Notamacropus eugenii: one gene and its partner. The protein of the gene in region 1 purifies or fractionates together with the protein of each later gene. This does not show direct contact. Links are inferred from orthologs where the notes say so. Each region holds a gene or a part of one and is shown in the gene's direction. Other genes may lie near its edges.

Region 1 (9,929 bases):
TTAGTGGTTTTAATGAGATGCGGGGAGGAGGTGGAAGGATGGGAGAGAGAGGGAGGAGGGAGGAGGTAAAGGGGCCAGGAAAGGAGGGAGACGAGAGAAAGAGGGGAGGAAGCCAGCCCCCGCCCCCGGGCCTCCCCACCCTGGGGCCTGGCATCCTGGCCTGGCAGGGCTTACCCCGGTCACGGTCCACTGAAGACCCCGGCCAGGGCCCCGGCTCAGCCCCAAGCTCCCCGAGACGCCACAGACGCACCAGCAGACGCCGCCGCCTAGTAACCAGCCTCCCCGCCCCTTCCCAGAAGGAAGTGCGAGCTACAGACCATCCACTTCCGGCGGAGGGGGGGGGGGGGAAGAGCGGGCAACCCGGGACGTACCAATCGCGCCTCCGGACCCTTGCCGTCTCCACGCAGGCCACCTCTGCGCAGGCCACCGGAGAATTCCTTAGGACCTTACCGGAAGCGTTTGTCATGCAAAACTTAGGAGATCAGAAGTATGTTGTGGAAGAAAGCTCAGGCTCGGAGGGCGCGGGCTCCCCCCCGTCTCTCAGGTCAAATATGGTATCGTCTCAGTGCCCCTTCCAGCCCAGAGAGCTCCGGGCCCGCCCTCCGCCTACACTTTGGCTTGTACCATTGGTGGGGGTGGGAGGTCAAAGAGATTGATTTTGCAGGTCCAAGGACACAAAATCCAGGAGAGATGCGGTGAAGACCGACACCCCTAGAAATACTAACACAAACTCTGAAGAACAGACGACAGCTGAGAGACACCTTGGCCCCTTGCGCTGAGAATTAAATTCTTCTTGATCCGAAGCACCCTGGCTCTAGTCCGTGCCGAAAGATAGATTTTCGTGGCTCTTTCTGATTCGTCATCTGGAAAGCACACTGACCAATAGGAAAAGCGCTCATAGAAGCTAGGCGGACAGGACCTTTACAGCCAACCAGGTTCCAGAGGGCGTGGCGTGACTTCAGCTAAGACTGGATTGACTGAGCCTCGCTGAGGTGTGGCGGGAGAACTGGAAAGTAACAAAGTCCTGGGATTTCAAAACGCTAATTGACTAAATGGCCGTTAATCCGGACTGCGTCAGGGGCCGGGTCTGTTAGTTATTAAGAGCCCTCTGCGGGAACGCTGCTCTAGGGAAGAAGCTTTAGGGTTAGGGTGCAAGGTTGCCGATGCCCCACCACTCCTACCTCTCTGGGACCTTGCCCGTCGCCTCTCTGCGCCCACGCCCTCCTGGATGTTTCCCTTTCTCTGCCCCTGGATCCCCCCACAGTTCCTTCTGCTGACAGAGGGGAGGTAGAGAGGCCGGGATGTCTCTCCATTATTGAGCTCCTTCTGAGCTACCAAACCCCAAGGGAGACCTCTCTTTGGGACCTGCCACTCTCACCGGAGAGACCCAGTACGTCCAGCGAAGACTGCAGGGAAACAATGTAACCTCTCAGAGCAAGGCCTCAGTTGTAACTTTCGGCACCCCCCGCCTCCCGCCCCGCCCCGAATCCCCCAGGCTGTTGGCAGCCGGGACTGCCCGCTGGTTACCCACTGGATTCATTACTCCCACCCTGCAGGGCTCACTTTCTCTGTCTGGACCCCTGATGACCCGGTGTAGCAACAAGGCCACTGTAAAGCTATGCAATGGGGCATTGAGGCAGGTGGGGGAGATGGGAAGAGGTTACCACCAGGTGCATAGGGGGAAGCCCCAGTCACTTAAAATCTTGTGAGTTGGCACAAACACTTGCTCATTCAAAAGCTCCTGGTGACTTCAGAGTTGGGAAGAGGGTACCTGAACCTGAACACCAGATCTGGGCCTGTAGGGAAGCTCTCTCTCCCTCAAGCAGTTAGAAGCCTGAACACTCAGAGAACAAAGGGAAAGGTTTGCTCAAGTGTGAACAGCAGGTAGTGCTGCTAGGGCCTTCTCCCAAAGGTGTGGCAGTACCCTGACTTGGGGATCTTCTTAGAGACCCCCCGCCCAAGGAAGAAGGGCTGGACATCTGGATTGATTATAGCACTGAAGCCTGTAGTTCTGGTGAGCAACTGATCTAGATTCTGAATGATGGAAACTTATAGGCGTTAACTAACTTCCCCCCAACCCCCATCACCTGAAAAAAGTCAAAAAACCCGGACTGCCCAATCAGGAGAGAGACATTTTTTAGCTCATTCTAAGCTTAACCTACTGTGAGGGATGATCTCTGAGGATCTCTCTCAGGAGTGAAGCCTCTTCAAGGGGTTAATTGTTTCTTGTCTGGTTGAAACAATGTGTCAAGATATTCTATACTTTCCCAGACTGCTCCCTATATTTTCCCAAGACTACCCCTTTTACTTCACCAGACTGCCCTCTGTATTTTCCCAGCCTTTCCCCGCCTTGTTTTTAGACTCATAACACCACCCCCTCCATTTTTTTTTTTTTTAAGGCTAATGTGTGAAAACTGTCTTTGTTCCCTGTTGCTGGGGTAGATTGCCTCAAATAGATTGTACCCTCAGGGCTTGCACCAACGAGCCCTGAGGAAGGAGGCTAGGGAGGGATTAAGGCCTATATAATCTGCTGAGCTAAACACAGCTCCGATCTCTTCCATTGGTGCCATCTTCCGGGCACTCTGAGGGAGCCCTTTCTCGAGAAAGTCAATAAACGAACTATTCTTTTTGCTAATATCTCTGAGTCTCTGGTTCATTGATAAGGATCTCTGTGCCCTCAACACTACCATAATGCTTTGCTGCTCTGGCATAAGAGACATGCTTTGCTTTCCTCTCTGAGTGAGCCCAAGCTCACCTGCTGGATTTTGCTGACTGGGAACATTCTTCTGCCAGGGACCAGGTACCTTGAACCAGACAATATCTTGAAATAGTGGGACTTATCTTGGTATTTTATGGACACTTATTTTACACCCTGTTATGATGTCCAAGTTTCATAAATCTATCCTACTAAGAAATTCCTTTCTCATATTATGGTTAACACATATGGAGACTATAATTTTGGCTGACTCAGGCATCCTGAGCCTGGAAGGGAGGGAAAAGCAAGAATTCCTTTCTGTAATTATATAAAACTGTCTTCAACTGGCCTTTCCTTGAACTCATTTTTCCAGATGAACTCCCATGCATATCTCTATATGCATGTTTGCCAGCTTTGAGAGAAATAATATACATATGCATCCTAATTTTGTTTGTCTTAGAGTGAATTTTCTAAAGGTTGACATAGAAAACCTTAGAGACCTAACTGTTTCATTTGTGCTGGACCGGAAGAGGAAAAATCCTTAATGCAAAAGACGAGACTGGGACAAAGTAGAGCCTGTGTTTGGATGGACACTGAATGTCCTGACCCCATTCCCTATCTCATCTGGGTGGATGGCCCAGCTGAGGAGGAGCAGTGAAGCTGCAGAGGTGAGAAGTCCAGGTCAGACTGCATCAGGAGAACAAAGGCAGGTGTGTCTGCAGTGAAGGCAAGGTGATTGTTACCAGGGCATGTTTTTTATAGTTTCCCAATACCATTCAACAAGAAGGTCCCTTGGGCTGACCAGCTATTATGGAGGCTGAAGAAGAAAGGTGCAAAAAGACCAGAGGAAGAGGATTAGGTCATAGTGGACCCAATGTACACTATTATAAACAACATCTGTCCCTAAGAAGTTACCTACTTACTCTCCTGTGACCTTGCTAGATAATATAAAAAAGATAGAATCCTTAACAAGGGAAAAGATGAGCTGCCTACGGTACTTGGGAACCATCTTTCCATATATTGAAACTTCCATCTTGTTTCTAGCTTCATTTGTAGCAAGAATGCCAAGGTCAATTTGATTCAGTTCCTTTAGCAGTGTGTCCACTCATTGACTCCCTATCACCCCCAGGATCAAAAAATAAAATAAAATGAGAGAAAATGTTTAAAAAAATTAACAAAATGAGTAGCGCAATCTTCCTGTTGCCTCCTCCACAGAGCTGTTGGAACAACAGTGTTGTCAAACAAAGCCCTACAAAAACAGGCAGTTAGGTGGCACAAGGGATAGAGAACCAGGCCTGGAGTCAGGAAGACTCATCTTCCTGGGTTCACATCTGGCCTCAGACACTAACTGTGTGACCTTTGGTGAGTTCCTTAACCTTGTTTGCTTCAGTTTCCTCATCTGCAAAATGAGCTGGAGAAGAGAATGGCAAACCACTCCCATGTCTTTGTCAAGAGAAGCCCAGATGGGGCCATGAAGATTTGGATGACACTGAAATGACTCAGCAGTGACAACCAAACAAAAGTGGTAACCATCATGCTCAACTGAGTAGTGGCCAAGGGATGAAGGTACTTCCTGGGATCCATCAGTAGGGATAATCCATTTCTTCCATGTCATCCAACCATGAGTAAGTACATAGAGAAGCATCCTCATTCCCAGTGGCTCACTCCCCTCAATTACTATACTCAGTGATTCCAAAGCACTGATCTCTAAGCAACAAACAACAAACATTTATTAAGCACCTACCATGTAGCACTTATTGCGCTGGGGGTATAAGAAAGACAGTGTTCCCTCAAGGAGCTCATGATCTAATGGGGAAGACAACATGCAAACCACTTTGTACAAACAAGCTATATACAGGATTAATAGATTATTAAAAAAGCAAATGCACTGGAATGAAGAGGGGTTGGGAAAGGCTTCCTGTAAAAAGTAGGATTTTAATTGAGACTTGAAGGAAGCCAGGAGGTGGAGATGAGGAGGGAGAGCATTTTAGGTTGGGGTAGCCACTCAAAATGTCTGAACTGGGAGATGGAGTATCTTGTTTGAAGAATGATCAGGAAACCAGTGTCACTGGATTGAAGGAAAAGAGGGTGTAAGGTATAGGAAGGCTGGAAAGATGTGGGGAGGGCTTTGAACAACAAACAGAGGATTTTGTGTTTGATCCATGAGGTAATAAGGAACACCTGGAATTTCTTGAATAGAGGGGTAACATGGTCAAACTTTCTCTTTAGGAAAGTCACTTTGGAGGCTGAATGGAAGATGTATTGGAGTGGGGAGAGATTTGAGGCAGGCAGAATCCCCAACAGGCTAGGGCAATAGTCCAGGTGTGAGGTGATGAGGGCCTGAGTGGTGACAGTGTCAGAGGATAGAAGGGGTGTTTTCAAGAGATTAGATATGGGGAGTGAGAGATAGTGGGGAATCAAGGATGACTCCTAGGTGCCTAGCCTGGGTGACTGGGAGGATAGTGTAAGTTTAGGGGAAAAGAAAATGAATTCAGTTTTTGGACACATTGAGCTTAACATGTCTACCAAACATCCAGATCTGATGTTTAAAAGGCAGGAGGAGATGTGAGACTGGAGATGAAAAGAGAGATTAAGACTAGATAAATAGCTTTGGGAATCATCAGCACAGAGATGGTAATTATGTCCATAGAACTGATGAGATCTCCAAGTGAAATGGAATGGAGAGAGAGGAGAAGAGGGCCTGAGACACTTAGTATGGCTGTTACCTGGACAAGGATCCAGCACAGGAGTCTAGGAAGGAGCAGTCACGCGGAAGATGGTGTTCTGAAGACCTGGAGAGGAGACAGTGTCAACACTGAGAATGTTCACAACGTCAAAGGCTACGGAGAAGTCAAGGCCAATGAAGACTGATAATAGGCTATTGCGTCTGTCAACCATATATGAACAGAGGTAGTAGTAGCCAGCACCTTGCTCCCCACCAAGAAGTACCCTGGAAAGGAATGAGCATCCCTAACATACACCAGAGAAGGGAGTTTTCCCAGATAAAATGAGAATGCTAAGAAGCCATTTTTAGGGTTGCCATATCACCTGCCCAATGTGGGACCTTCATTACCCCAATCTAGATACAGATTTGGAGGTCTGTGTCATCCTGCTCCCATCTCCAAAATCTGTTCTTTAACAAATTTTGTGTGTTTTTTCCTTTCACCCTTCCCTAGTGTAGACTCTAGGGAACCACTTAACTGGAGAGGCATTTGCTGAAGAAATTGAAATGTGTAATACAAACTGAGTCTTCTAAATGCTAAATTCCTTGAATTCAGAGAGTTCCCATCCCAATTGCTGCATCTAATTTACTGATAGAAGGCTGACTGGTGCACTCTCTCTCTTTTTCTCTCTCTCTCTCTGCTCCAGGTTGGTGGCCATATCTGCTTGCTAGAGTTCAGCCAAAGTGAAAGTAGAGATGGCACAGTTTTTTGCTGAGTGGAGATTCTAAGATTGAAACCACTCCTGGTCAAAGTCCTCAGAAGTGTCAATAAGGTAGGTGAGAGTAATGAGGCAGCATATCCTCCCACACCATGACTGAAGAATTGGGAGGCAGACCAGGAGTCCGGGCTCTCCTTGGGCAAAGTCTTCTGGGAGTGTTCATACTCTTGGAAAGTTCAGATATGTGAACTCATCAGAGAACAGGGGCCTGGGTTGGGCATGTACTTGTTTGACCTTTTGAGTAAACTGGCACACTTTCACTTGGGAAATCCCTAAGATGGAGGTGTAAAACTCTCACTGAGTGGGGCTGAACCAGATAAATTACAATTGGAAAATGTTTAACAAAATAAATAGAAACAGAATGATGTGAATTTGTGGTTTTTTAAATCAATGCATGGCCACAGAGATCCCTTTCTCTTGGAGTTTGACACTATTATTTTACAAGATGCTTCATTAGCTTTCTCTTTCAAGTAATAACACTGAATCAACTCAAGTCATAATGTGAGCATTTGCTGGTAGGCCAAGCAGAGAAAAGAAGATCAATGTCTTCCTGAGAAAATGAGGCCTGAGCTCATCAAAATCAGGAAGTTTTCCTGGTAGAAATTCCAAGTGGGTGAAAAAATATGAGCCAAATTTATAAGTTGAAGAAATGATATTTGTAAATATTTATTAAATGCAAAAGAATTTTTTAGTATTTAATAAAGTCCATCTTGAGCTTAGTAGAACACTGGCCAAGGGATGGGGGTGTGTGTGTGGGGGGGCTGACTAACAGCTGCTATGGTTAGGACAAGCTATCTGCTGCCGAAGCATCTGTCCTGGCCACTCCCTCCCAGAGGGTTTTTGTGCATAGCAAACATGACCCTCTTCAAACTAGTCAATCCACAAACTTTCATTAAACACTGACTATGTGCCAGGTACTGTGCTAAGCATTGGTGATAGGGAAGGTGAAAACATAGTTCCTGCCCTCCTGGAGCTCAAAGTCTAATTAGATACAGGTTAGACTGGCCATAACATCAGAGGGAAAGCACAGGCACACAGAGACCAGGAAGGTCAATGGATGAACAATACCTGTTGTCCAGAATGTCTTTCCAGCCCAAAGACGATTCTCAAAAGTGAGTACGTATTATGACTTCTCTCTTTGTTGAGTTATAATTGCTTCCCACCCTAAGCAGCAATCATCCACCACCTTGGATTCTACAGTTTCTCCCCAACAGAGCTGGAAAAGAAATCTTCGCCCTTGCTTTTCCTCAGTTTCATTTCCTGATGCTATGGTATGAATCATGCTCCCTGACCACAGTGGGTGTCAAAACGAAATGGAAAAAAGGGGCCCTGGGGGCTGCATACTGACTCGGGAAACCACAGATCCAAGTTTTCTAGATTCTCTTATATTTTTCCTTTTTTTTTGTTCATTTTTTTCCAATTACATTTTCACCTGGTTCAGGTCACACTCTTATGGGCTGCCTGTTTGACATCTGTTCCACAATACCAAAAGGTGAAGGCCATACTCAACAAAAGGAGGCTGGAGAAGACACCAGATAAATCATCCACAGGGCCACGTTTTCTCATTGTAATCACTCCTGTTTTGTTTTATGTACAGAATTGTCATCATTTCCTAAACTGACCAATCTATAAATAAATGTTTGTCTAGTACCTACCTCCTTTTCTTCCTTGCTTTCCTTTCTTTCTTTATCTGAAAGGAACTTTAAGAAATCACGTTGGAGGTAGGTGAGTCCAGAGGCGAGGAGGCCAATTAAGACCTAATTAGAATAGCTCAGGTGAGAGGTGTTGAGCACCTGGACAGGTGAAGGAGAGAGAAAAGGATGACATGAGAGTTGCCCTCGAGGTAAAATAACCACCTGATTGAATAAGGGGAAGTGATGAGTCCTGCTTGGACTTGTTGAATGTGAGCTGCCTATGGGATATCCAGTTGGAAATGTTAGCTTGGGCAGTTAGTGATGGTGGTTTTTGAGTTCAGGAGAGAGACGGGCTGGATCTCTGAGTCTCTTTCATGGAGATGGCAGTTGAACCTCTGGAAGCAGATGAGAACGACCTATATTTCTGAATCTCTTTCTCCCTTCCTGCTGGGTGAGCCATCCCAGCCAACAATGATTTTAAAAGAAAGGAGGGGAAGGGAAGCAGTTCAGCAAAACTAATTAACCCCTAGGTCTCCTCATCTGTAAAAAGTTGTTCAATTGTGTCTGACTCTTTGTGACTCCATTTCGGGTTTCTTGGCAAAGATACTAGAGTGGTTTGCCGTTTCCTTCTCCAATTCATTTTAAAAATGAGAAAACAAAGGCCAAGGGGGTTATGGGACTTGACCAGGATCACACAGCTAGTGAGCATCTGAGGCTGGATTTGAACTCAGGAGACTTCCTGATTCTTGTGTGGCTCAGTCTAGCTTCTTTGTAAAAGGAGTATGTTGCCCTCAGATGCTCTCTAGGGTCCTCTCCAACTCAAAATTCATGATCTTCTAATTAGGGAAAGGAAGGAGGGAAGGGGACAAGCACTTATGAAGTACCTACTATGTTCCAGGCATGAAGCTAACTAAGCACTTTTCCAATCCATTTCAGGAGCCTGTGTCTGAATCTGTGTACCCATTATGCCCAACTCTTCCCACACGGGAGACATTTTCTAAACTCTTCCTCAGGTCCAAGTTTTGTCATTACGATTGTTCAGTATTTGGTTTCATTTTTTTTCTTCTGTGTACAGAATTGTAATCATTCAAAGAAATGACCATTCAATAAATGTTTGTCCAGTACCTGCTATGTGCCAGATATTGGGACAAAAATAAGCTCTCAAAGAATTTACATTTTATCATTGTGCAACCTCCACATTTTACAAATGAAGAAATTGAGGCTCAGAGCAGAAGTCACTTAGCCGAGGTTAAGTGTCTTAGGGGATTCACATCCAAGTCTTTAGGCCCAAGCCTTCTAGATTGTAAGGTAGACACTGCCCATCATACTACATACATGCTACACCCAAGAAAACTAGACAATTTTTCCTCTCCCCAACTCAGCTCACATTCCACCAAAGAGGGTTAAAGTATATATGAGGAAATAGACTAAAGGTAGGCATTTCTAACAAGTGGGTGAGGAAAGGCTCCTGCAGGTTTACCCCTGAGCTGGGCTTTGTAGGAAAATGGACATTCTAAGGTTCTCTGCTATGCCAGATGAGGGGGCATTCAGACCTCCACATCTGGGATAACCTTTCCCCTCCCATCACAGCCCATTCCAGTTTGGGGATTCATTAATCTCTAATTATTAGGTTGGTTTGTTTCCCCCTGACCTTAGATCTCCATTTGCTCCTTTCAAATTTCCAGTCATTGTTCCTGATTCTGCCCTCTAAAATATCCTAAGTGAATCTAACATCCCCCACAGGATGGTCCTTCAGATGCTCTAGGAAGCTACTCTCCTGTCTTCCCTGAGTTTCCTCTTCTCCAGGATAAATAAACATCCATAGTGCCTTCCTCTGGTCCTCAGAGATCTTTGCATTCCAGGTCTCCTTTTTTAGAGTATAAGCTCCTTGAGGCCAGGCAGGGTCTTGATTGGTTGTGTTTGTGTCCCCAAGTACTTAACAGATGTTCTCTGACTCTCTCTTTTTTTTTTTCTTGAGGTAGTTGGGGTTAAGTGACCTGCCCAAGGTCACACAGCTAGTAAGTGTCTGAGACTTGATTTGAATTCAGGTCATCCTGACTCCAGGGCTGGTACTCTCTCCACTGTATCACCTCTCTGTCTGAGTCTATGGAGATGGATGAGACATTTTGAAGCTGTCTCTTCATTTGTAAAAAATGAAA
Region 2 (9,700 bases), on another chromosome or scaffold:
TGAGTAGGATTCCCTCTGCATAGCTGCTGCCAGTTCCATCACACCAGCACTTCTCCTCCTGCCAGGACCACCACTCAAGACTGAGACCCAGATCAGCTGCTTGATTTCCCCAGGGTCTTGAGGCTGAAGGCTCCAAAATTGGATCCTTCTGCTACAGTGACTGCTGCCACCCTGAGGCCAGGGCTGAGGCTGGACCATCCCCCCTCTCACCCAGGTGAAAGAGCTTTCTCAATGACCTTTGAACCTATCTTTGACATTGGTAAGTTGAGAAATCTGGGAACCACAGTAGCTGCTCATGATTCCATACCCTGAAGCCTGTATGAGTCCTGTCTGTGTCACGTGGGTCACACTGGGCTGCATTTTGCTCCAACCCCAACGTGATAGACCTTTACTGTTGGCCTTCCAGGCTGCATTGGGGTGGAAATCCATTTCTCTCTGTCATTTTGTGGCTTCTGCTGCTCTAGAATTTGTCTAGAATCATTTTTTACAGATATACTTTGGGCTATGGGGGGAGAGCTAGAGCAGGTCAGTCCTTCTATTCTACCATCTTGGCTCCTAAAAAAAATTTTTTTTAAACATACAATTTGAGTATGGGATCCCTGGGCTGGAGCAAGACAAATTAAATTCTGAGGTTCCCAGGGGAAATTGAGTAGGGACATGAAACAAAGAGAGATTTTTTGGAAGCTTTTTAAAAAACAGATTATTTCCAAGGACCACCTCTCATCCCATAGAACCTTCATTTGTTGTCTAGTCATTAAAAGTACTATCAGACTCTTCATGGCTCTATTTGGAGTTTTCCTGGCAAAGATACTGGAATGGTTGGGCATTTCCTTCTCCAGATCATTTTACAGATAAGGAAACTGAATTAAATAGGGTGAAGTGACTTGTCCAGGGTCACACAGCTAGTAAGTGTCTGAACTCAGATTTGAACTTGGGAAGATGAGTCACCCTCACTCCAGGTCCAGAGCTCTCTGCACTATGGCATCACCTAGCAGCCCCCTAACCAAGAAATACATTTAAGCAAAACAAATGACCTTATAACTTGGTCTGACAGTTTATGCTTAATTCTGTGTTTCCTCTATTAATAGAATCTGAGTTTCTTGAGAACAAGGACTGTTTTGCTTTTCTCTTTGTGTACTCAACATAATCCTCTGAACATAGCAAGCACTTAATAAATTCCTTTTTTCCCTTCTTTCCCTCCCTCCTTCCTTCCTTCCTTCCTAGCCCCTACATTCTCTATCAGTTGTTGGAGTCAAGATAAGAAAGTACATTATTCCAATATCTTCTAGAGTTGTTTTCATTTAAGTTGTATTGTGTAAATAATTTTTTTTGTTCTGCTTATTTTTTTGAGCATCATTTGAAATATTTACCTAAGGTTTTCTGGATTACTCAGTTTGTGGTTGATGGTGAATGGTTCCTGGAAATATAATGTGGCACAGAGATCAGGGAGTCAGCTTTGGAGCCAAGGATAGACCTCATTCCATTCCTTCCTTGGACACAGATGACTGGTGTGTCCCTGGACAAGCCACTGAACCTGCCTCTCATGCCCCTAAAGCTGTAGAATAGTAGCAACCTCAATTAAAAGGGGAGGAAGGAGAGGGAATAAGTATTTCTATAGTGTCTACTATGTGCCAGGCCCTGTGCTAAATGTTTTTTTTTTTTTCAAAAAAAAATATTATCTCATTTGATCTTCACAGAAACCTTGGGAAGTAGGTGTAATTATTATTCCAATTTTACAATTGAGGAAATTGAGGCAGAGTTTAAGTAATGCCAGTAAGTCTCTGAGGCTAGATATGTACTGTCAACCTGAATTAAGGAAAAAGCAGCAATGTAGCAAAAATGATGATCTTTAGTTGGGACAAGGGGTTGCAACTGGGGTTCCACGCAGTAACAAGTGCTGGGGATCCCGAAAAGGGGGCTGGATGTGGGGTTCTTATAAAGTATTTAGGCTGAGAGAGAGGCACTGCTGATGTGAAAAGGTAGGACATTATACTATTTCACCAGGTAAGCTGTTTTGCAAAGCAACTAAAAGTCCATAGAGAAAGTTTGAGAATCTCAGAGGGGAGAGTTTAGGACATTTACAAAAATGTCAGAATCTGGGAGTGATACTGTCTGGTAAGCCTCAGGCATTTTATGGGTCTGGGGAATGAGGATTAGGTCTGCTTCAGTCAGCTACATTTGATGGTGCTCCCCTCTTCCTGATTCCAGGCTCAGACCTCTACCCATTGTACCACCAACTTCATCATTAACTGAAGTTTCTTTTCAAGCATTCCCTAACTAGATGAACTCATAGGTCTAGACAACATGTATATACATATATGCATATGTGTGTGTGCATATGTACCTTCAGATACTTACTAGTTGGGTGACGGTAGGCAAGTCATTTCACCTGTTTGCCTCAGTTTCCTTATCTATAAAGTGGAGATAATCATATTACCTATCTCCTAGGGTGAATGTGAGAAGCAAATGAGAAATGATGAGTGTTTCTTCTACCCTCCCCACCATACCTAGTGCTTGACAGGGTCCTGGGTCAAAGGCTACATCTGAATCAATCAATCAATCAATCAATATTTATTTAGCTAAGAGAAGGTAGGGATTCAAAAAGAGATAAAACAATCATATGCTCAAGGAGCTCATAATCTAATTGAGGGAGACAAACATGAAAATAAATATATCCAAAGCAAGCTATACAGAAGACAAATAGGAAATGATTAACAAGGAGAAGGCTCTGGAATGAAGAGGGGCTAAGGAATTTAGCAGCTTAGTAAGCTAGCATCTCCCCCAGCTCTAATGAGGCAAAGTAGCCTCTTGGGGAGGCCGCACAGGGCTGCGCATGGAGTTAGGGGACCTAAGTTCCAAACTTGATTCTGCTACTTACCATACGGGTCACCTTGCTCAAGTCACTTCTACTCCCTTTGCCTATGTCCTTCTTTTGGAAAAAGAGAGATTTTGACCCAGATCTCCAAAGCAGGCATGGGACACAGGATCCAGAGGCTGAGGATCTGGGTTTACATTCCATGGCTGACACTTAGCACTGAGTGACGTAGGGCCTACTTCCTTCAGTCCTTCCTCTGTAAAATGCAGTGTGTGTGTGTGTGTGTGTGTGTGTGTGTGTTTGCGTGTGTGTGTGTGTTTGCATGTGTGTGTGTGTATGTGTGTGTGTGCACTCAGGGAGGAACTGAACCTCATGACCTCAAAAACATCACAGTTACAAGGAAGGAGCATTGCCATTGGAGGCATCAGCCTGGGTTCAAAGGCTGCTGCTGTCACTACCTGAGTAGTGACATTGGTCACTTACTAACTTACTGAACTTTCCTGGGCCTGAGCTGTCTCATCTGGAAGATGAGGGGTTTGGGTTATTTGACCTCTGAGGTCCCTTCCAGCTCTAAGAATAAAATAGCTAGTGTTTATAAAGTGCTTTAGGTATGTTATAGGCAGATATATGGCATGATGAGTGGAGTACTGGACTCGGAGTCAGGAAGACCTGAGCTCAAATGCTGTGGAAGCCACTTGCAAGCTGTATGATCCTGGGCAAGTCACTTAACCTTTGTTTACCTTAGTTTTCTCACCTGTAAAATGGGGATAATAATAGTGCCTACCTGAGAGGGTTGTTGTGAGGATTATATGAGATAATTGTAAAGCCCTTACACACAGTAAGTACCATATAAATATTAACTTACTATTAATATGTGAGGTGCTTTGTAAACTGAAATGCTACATCAATGTTAAGTTACTATTAACATATAAGGTGCTTTGTAAACTTAAATGCCACATAAATGTTAACATGTCAGATGCTTTGTAAACCTTAAATGCTATATAAATGTTAACTTACCTTTAACATGTGAGGTGCTTTGTAAGCCTTAAATGCTACATAAATGTTAACTTGACATGTCAGATGCTTTGTAAACCTTAAATGCTATATTAATGTTAACTTAGTTTTAACATGTGAGGTGCTTTGTAAGCCTTAAATGCTACATAAATGTTAACTTGACATGTCAGATGCTTTGTAAACCTTAAATGCTATATAAATGTTAACTTACCATTAACATATAAGGTGCTTTGTAAACTTAAATGCTACATAAATGTTAACTTGACATGTCAGATGCTTTGTAAACCTTAAATGCTATATAAATGTTAACTTACTTTTAACATGTGAGGTGCTTTGTAAGCCTTAAATGCTACATAAATGTTAACTTGACATGTCAGATGCTTTGTAAACCTTAAATGCTATATAAATGTTAACTTACCATTAACATATAAGGTGCTTTGTAAACTTAAATGCTACATAAATGTTAACTTGACATGTCAGATGCTTTGTAAACCTTAAATGCTATATAAATGTTAACTTACTTTTAACATGTGAGGTGCTTTGTAAGCCTTAAATGCTACATAAATGTTAACTTGACATGTCAGATGCTTTGTAAACCTTAAATGCTATATAAATGTTAACTTACCATTAACATATAAGGTGCTTTGTAAACTTAAATGCTACATAAATGTTAACTTGACATGTCAGATGCTTTGTAAACCTTAAATGCTATATTAATGTTAACTTACTTTTAACATGTGAGGTGCTTTGTAAGCCTTAAATGCTACATAAATGTTAACTTGACATGTCAGATGCTTTGTAAACCTTAAATGCTATATAAATGTTAACTTACCATTAACATATAAGGTGCTTTGTAAACTTAAATGCTACATAAATGTTAACTTGACATGTCAGATGCTTTGTAAACCTTAAATGCTATATAAATGTTAACTTACTTTTAACATGTGAGGTGCTTTGTAAGCCTTAAATGCTACATAAATGTTAACTTGACATGTCAGATGCTTTGTAAACCTTAAATGCTATATAAATGTTAACTTACCATTAACATATAAGGTGCTTTGTAAACTTAAATGCTACATAAATGTTAACTTGACATGTCAGATGCTTTGTAAACCTTAAATGCTATATTAATGTTAACTTACTTTTAACATGTGGGGTGTTTTGTAAACTTAAATGCTACATCAGTGTCAACTTACTATTAACATGCAAGGTGATTTGTAAACTTAAATGCCACATAAATGTTAACTTAACATGCCAGATGCTTTGTAAACTTAAATGCTCTATAAATTCTAGCTATTACTTTCTCGATCAGGGGTTGTTAGCTTTTGGTGTGTCATGGACACACTATGCATGATCCACACACGAAGGGCTGGGGAAGCCTATGGGCTCCTCAGAAAATGTTTTATGAAATAGAATCACAAAAGAAACAATATTGAAATAAATAGGGGAGTCTGTGGACCCCAGGTTAGAAATCACTGATCTAGAGCGTAGAGCTCTGGATCCAAACACTGCCTCTGATCCTAATTAGCCGGGTGACGTCGTCTGTGCAAGTCACAACGTCTGCCTCAGTTTCCTCATCTTTAAAATGTGGATAATAATAGTATACCTCCCAGGGTTGTAGTGAGAATCCAAAGAGTTCATGTTTGTAAAGTGGCTTACAAACCTTGGAGGGTTACATTAAATACTTCTGTACGATCCGAAGTGTCCCTTGACTCTATAAGAATTGGACCCACAGTACGCAGACTGAAACACAATGCCGCCCTACCACTTGATTTGTTTCCGACGAGAACCTATGGGACGAGGCTGGTGGGCGGGGCCGAAGAGAGCCAGAGGACGCTTGCGCCGGGGCTCAGTCGGCGCCCGCCCACCTCTTTTCTGCGCGCCGCCTTTTCGCCGCTGTTTCGCGCCGCCGCCCCCCCAGGAAAGAGAGCAGCGGAGTGTCCGGGCTCTGATTGGCCGCTTTGAAAGTCTACGGGCGCGCTGATTGGCGGAGCGGAGACACTTTAGCGCGCTGAGTTTGAAACTGGCCTCAGTCGGTGTCCCAGGAGCTGAGTCGGAGGAGGTACTCGTGCAGTCGCTGCAGCCCCCGCCGCTGCGCCTTCGGCCTCGGCCTCCTCAGGTAAGCGGGGCCCGGCCCGCAGCGGGGAAGCGCCGCCCGAGGCGGGCCCGGCCCGGCCCGAGGGGGGAAAGGGAGTGCCTCCTCCACCCCCCTCCCACCCACCCCCCCACCTCGGGCGGCGTGGCGGCTCCTCCCCTCCCGACCCCGTGCTCCCTCGGGAAGGACCCCAGCCGGGTCTGCGCCCGAGGAAGGGCTAGGACGCCCAGGAGCCTTCCACTGGTGACCGTCGTCGGCCCGGAGCCCTTCCGTTCCCCATGTGGCCGCTCGCCCCCCGGGGTGTGGCCGCCCCCGGAATTTTACGGGCGGGAGCGCGGACCTTTCCCTGAAGGCGCGGTGGGGCCCTTTGTTCTGACCCGGCTCCTCGGGGGTGGGGCGCGTCCAGGACCCCCCCGGCGCTGGCACGTCGAGGCTCCGGACGGTCCTGAGCGCGTCGGTGGCGTGGCACCCCTCCCCCACACCCTCTGTCTGCCTGCCACCTCCGCGTAGCCTGGGCCCACCGGGGGAGCTGTCACGGGTCACTCATTGCCAGATCAATGACAGGCCTCGGGCCAGGTCAGCGCGTTCATTCATGGACGCGAAGGCTTCCCGTAAGGGCTCGGACACCCAACTGACCCCCCAGGGCTCGGGCCTCCCTTCTAACTTAAAAAAAAATCCCCTTTAAATTGTATTTATTATAAACTTAAAAACTTCGTTCTGCTTACGGCCACCCCACTCAGTTGAAAAAAGAAAAAAAAAATAAAGCCCTGGTAAGAGATGAACAATGACCGGGTCTCGCCCCCTCTCCCCCTCATTCTGCCATCGCCGTCCCGCAGCCCTGTTTGGCACTGCCCCGTGCCCACCTCAGACCTCGGATCGATCTGAAGGCCTCTGGGATTGGGGTTCTGCGCCCTGAGTCCGCCTCAGGCCGTGTCTATTTTCCCATGTCTCTCTGAATGGTTTCTTCATTTCCTTCATTTGTTGTAAGCTCTTGTCTTTTGCCAGTTTTTTTTTTTTATCCCCCACACTTAGCACAGTGCCTGGCACATAGTAGGCCCTTAATAAGCATTTATTGATTCTTACAGCACAATAATATTCCTTGTATCATATAACATAATTTGATTAGCCACTCCTTGGTTGATGCCCTCCACCTTGCTTCCAGTTCTTTGCCACTACAAAAAAGAACTTGAAATATCTTCATATATCTTTTCATCTTTCATATTCTTGGAGTATAGGACTGGTTCAAAGAGTATGCACAGTTTAGTAACTTTTGCAGTATATTTCCAAATTACTTTCCAGAATGGCTAGTCTAATTTACAGCTTCACAAACAGTACATCCATGTGCCTGTTTTCCTACAGCCCCTCCAGCATTTGGCATTTTCTTTTTTTGTCCCCTTTGCCATTATCTGGGTGTGTGGGTTGCTTTAATTTGCATTTCCCTAATTATTAGTGATTTGGAGCATTTTCTTAGCATGGCTATCAGTCGTTTGGATTCATTCCTTCCTTAGAAACATGCTTGTATCCTTTGGCTAGTTCTCATTTGGATTCCTTCCTTCCTTTTATACATGACCAATAGCCTCCTAAGGTGAGTGATACAAATATGGTCATTCCCGTTTTATAGCTGGGGAAGCTAAGGGTTTGTGAGTTGGGAGTGACAGTGCTGGGTAATAAATACAGTTAGTGAGTTTAGCAATCTTTAGCCCAGAATTTAGGACTGAAAGTAATCTGGTTAGATAAATGTACTTTATGGATGAGGCAGCTGAGGGCAGTGACTTGATCCAAGGGCATACATGTACAGTAAGAATAATTGAACTGCAGTCTTAATGTTCTTAATAGTACTACATAGGGCACTGAGAAAGGAGCCTTGCCATGCTTTAGACGAGATTGTTGTAAAATACAAGAAGGTTGGGGCTGCGCTTGAATAGAAAGTGTTCCCTGACTGCAGGTCATTTGGTCCTTACGACTCTGATGCAAGTGCTGGAGGAAGAGACCAAGCCTCAGTAACTTGTCCAGGTTTACACGACCAGAAAATGTCTGAAAGAGTATTTGAACGTTATCTATCTAGGTTCAAAGAATCTCCCAGATCACTTTCCTAGACAACCAAGATAGTTTGCAAAAAGTAGATAGCATGGGACATAACTGGCCCTGCCATCTATCTCCTGAGAAATGCTAGGAGGAAGATGGGTGGCTGATGCCTGTGAGAAGACAGCTCTAGGCTACACAAGCTGTTTGAAAGGGGTATTCACCTAAAAACTTTCAAACTAAAAGGAAGACAAGTTAACAGATGGATTCAACATAAGATTAGTGGAAGACTGTTTCAGCTATTTTTTTCAAATTGAACTAATTTAATCAGTTTCTCTCTTAACATCTCTTACAGTCTGGCTTCTGACCTCATCATTCCACCTGAACCACTCTCTTCAAAGTTACCAATGATCTCTTAATTGCCTGATCCAACAGCCCTTTCTAGATCCTCGTAAACTGTTTTGTCACCTATGATCAAATACAAAATCATTGGTTTGGCCTTCAAAGCTCTTCATCATCTAGCTCCCTCCTCCCTTTCCAGTCTTCTTACTCTACTTGGAGTAAAGGTACAATGTGTCCCACTGTGACTGATCACACTAATGTGAACTTGGGAGACTCCCATAGGCCGGACACAAGTGATCTATAATAATCTCTGCCACATACTGGCTTCCTGGCTGTTCTTTGAATGAGACACTCCACCTTTTTTCGTCTGGCTGTTCCCTATGCCTCTTCATTGCCATTTCCCGACTTGCCCGGTTTCCTTTTAAATTCCATCTTCTACAGGAAGCCTTTTCCATTCCCTCTTAATTCTAGTGCCTTCCCTCTCATTTATTTCCTGTTAATCCTACATGTAGCTTCTATGTTTATTGACTGCCTGAATTGTATATAGTTTGGGCTTAACTGAATTTTGGGTGAGTGTAGTGGGAAGGGTTCTGTATTGGCCTTTACAAAGTGTACAAATGAAAATTGGTATCTGGCCATTCATGATACACTGCTCGCCTCATAGAACTAGTTCTAACGGGACAGAAGCAGCCAAGAATTTGGCTACCTGAGAGTCCAGTTTCAATTCTTTTTTACACTGCATTTATCAGGAAGTTTTTGTATTCTATGATAACAAAGGATAAGCAAAAGATTTCTCCATCAAAATACTGAGAGGCATCATGCCATCAGTGAGTAGTTGACTCAGAAGCCAAGAAGACTTAGGTTGATGTCTGCCCGTTGGCATGAACTGATGGTGGTGATGATGGGATGGTAATTTAGTCTTAGTGCTCTAGGCCAGAGATGTCAAACATGCTGTTGATAGATTAAAATGTAATTGGAAAATATTTAGCAACATAAAATACACTAAAACACAGGCATGCCTTGGAGATATTGTGGGTTGGGTTCCAGGTTAACATAATAAAGTGAATGTTGCAATAATTTTGAATCATGAATTTTTGGTTTCTCAGGGCATATCAAAGCTGTGTTTGTACTGTTGTCTATTAAGAATGCCATAGTATGTCTAAAAAACCAATGTATATACCTTAATTAAAAAATGTTAACCATCATCTGAGCCTTCAGCAAGCTGTAATCTTTTTGCTTGCAGAGAATCTTGCCTCAGATTGCTGACTGATTAGGGTGGTTGGTTACTGAAGGTTGAGCTGGCTCTGGCAATTTCTTAAAACATCCATGAAATTTGCTGTATCAATTAACTCTTCCTTTCACTCTTAACACTTAGAGGTCATTGTAGGGTTTTTAATTGGTCGAATTCCAAT

What was found.
Region 2: the proteins of SPDYC (region 1) and CDK1 purify together in Homo sapiens (co-immunoprecipitation; 3 studies listed by BioGRID and IntAct, with this or other methods). This does not show direct contact. The link is inferred for Notamacropus eugenii from reciprocal best matches to the Homo sapiens genes SPDYC and CDK1.

What each region holds. Positions count from the first base shown.
Region 1 is NC_092873.1:17,874,063-17,883,991, forward strand, and holds the start of SPDYC (speedy protein C), read left to right. Parts: upstream 1-6,220; 5' UTR 6,221-7,189; coding exon of another isoform or gene 7,190-7,193; coding exon 7,194-7,252; intron 7,253-7,828; exon of another isoform or gene 7,829-8,037; coding exon of another isoform or gene 8,038-8,039; exon of another isoform or gene 8,040-8,221; intron 8,222-9,929. UniProt on the Homo sapiens protein: Promotes progression through the cell cycle via binding and activation of CDK1 and CDK2. Involved in the spindle-assembly checkpoint. Required for recruitment of MAD2L1, BUBR1 and BUB1 to kinetochores.
Region 2 is NC_092872.1:268,935,587-268,945,286, reverse strand, and holds the start of CDK1 (cyclin-dependent kinase 1), read left to right. Parts: upstream 1-5,687; 5' UTR 5,688-5,948; exon of another isoform or gene 5,949-6,434; intron 6,435-9,700. UniProt on the Homo sapiens protein: Plays a key role in the control of the eukaryotic cell cycle by modulating the centrosome cycle as well as mitotic onset; promotes G2-M transition via association with multiple interphase cyclins.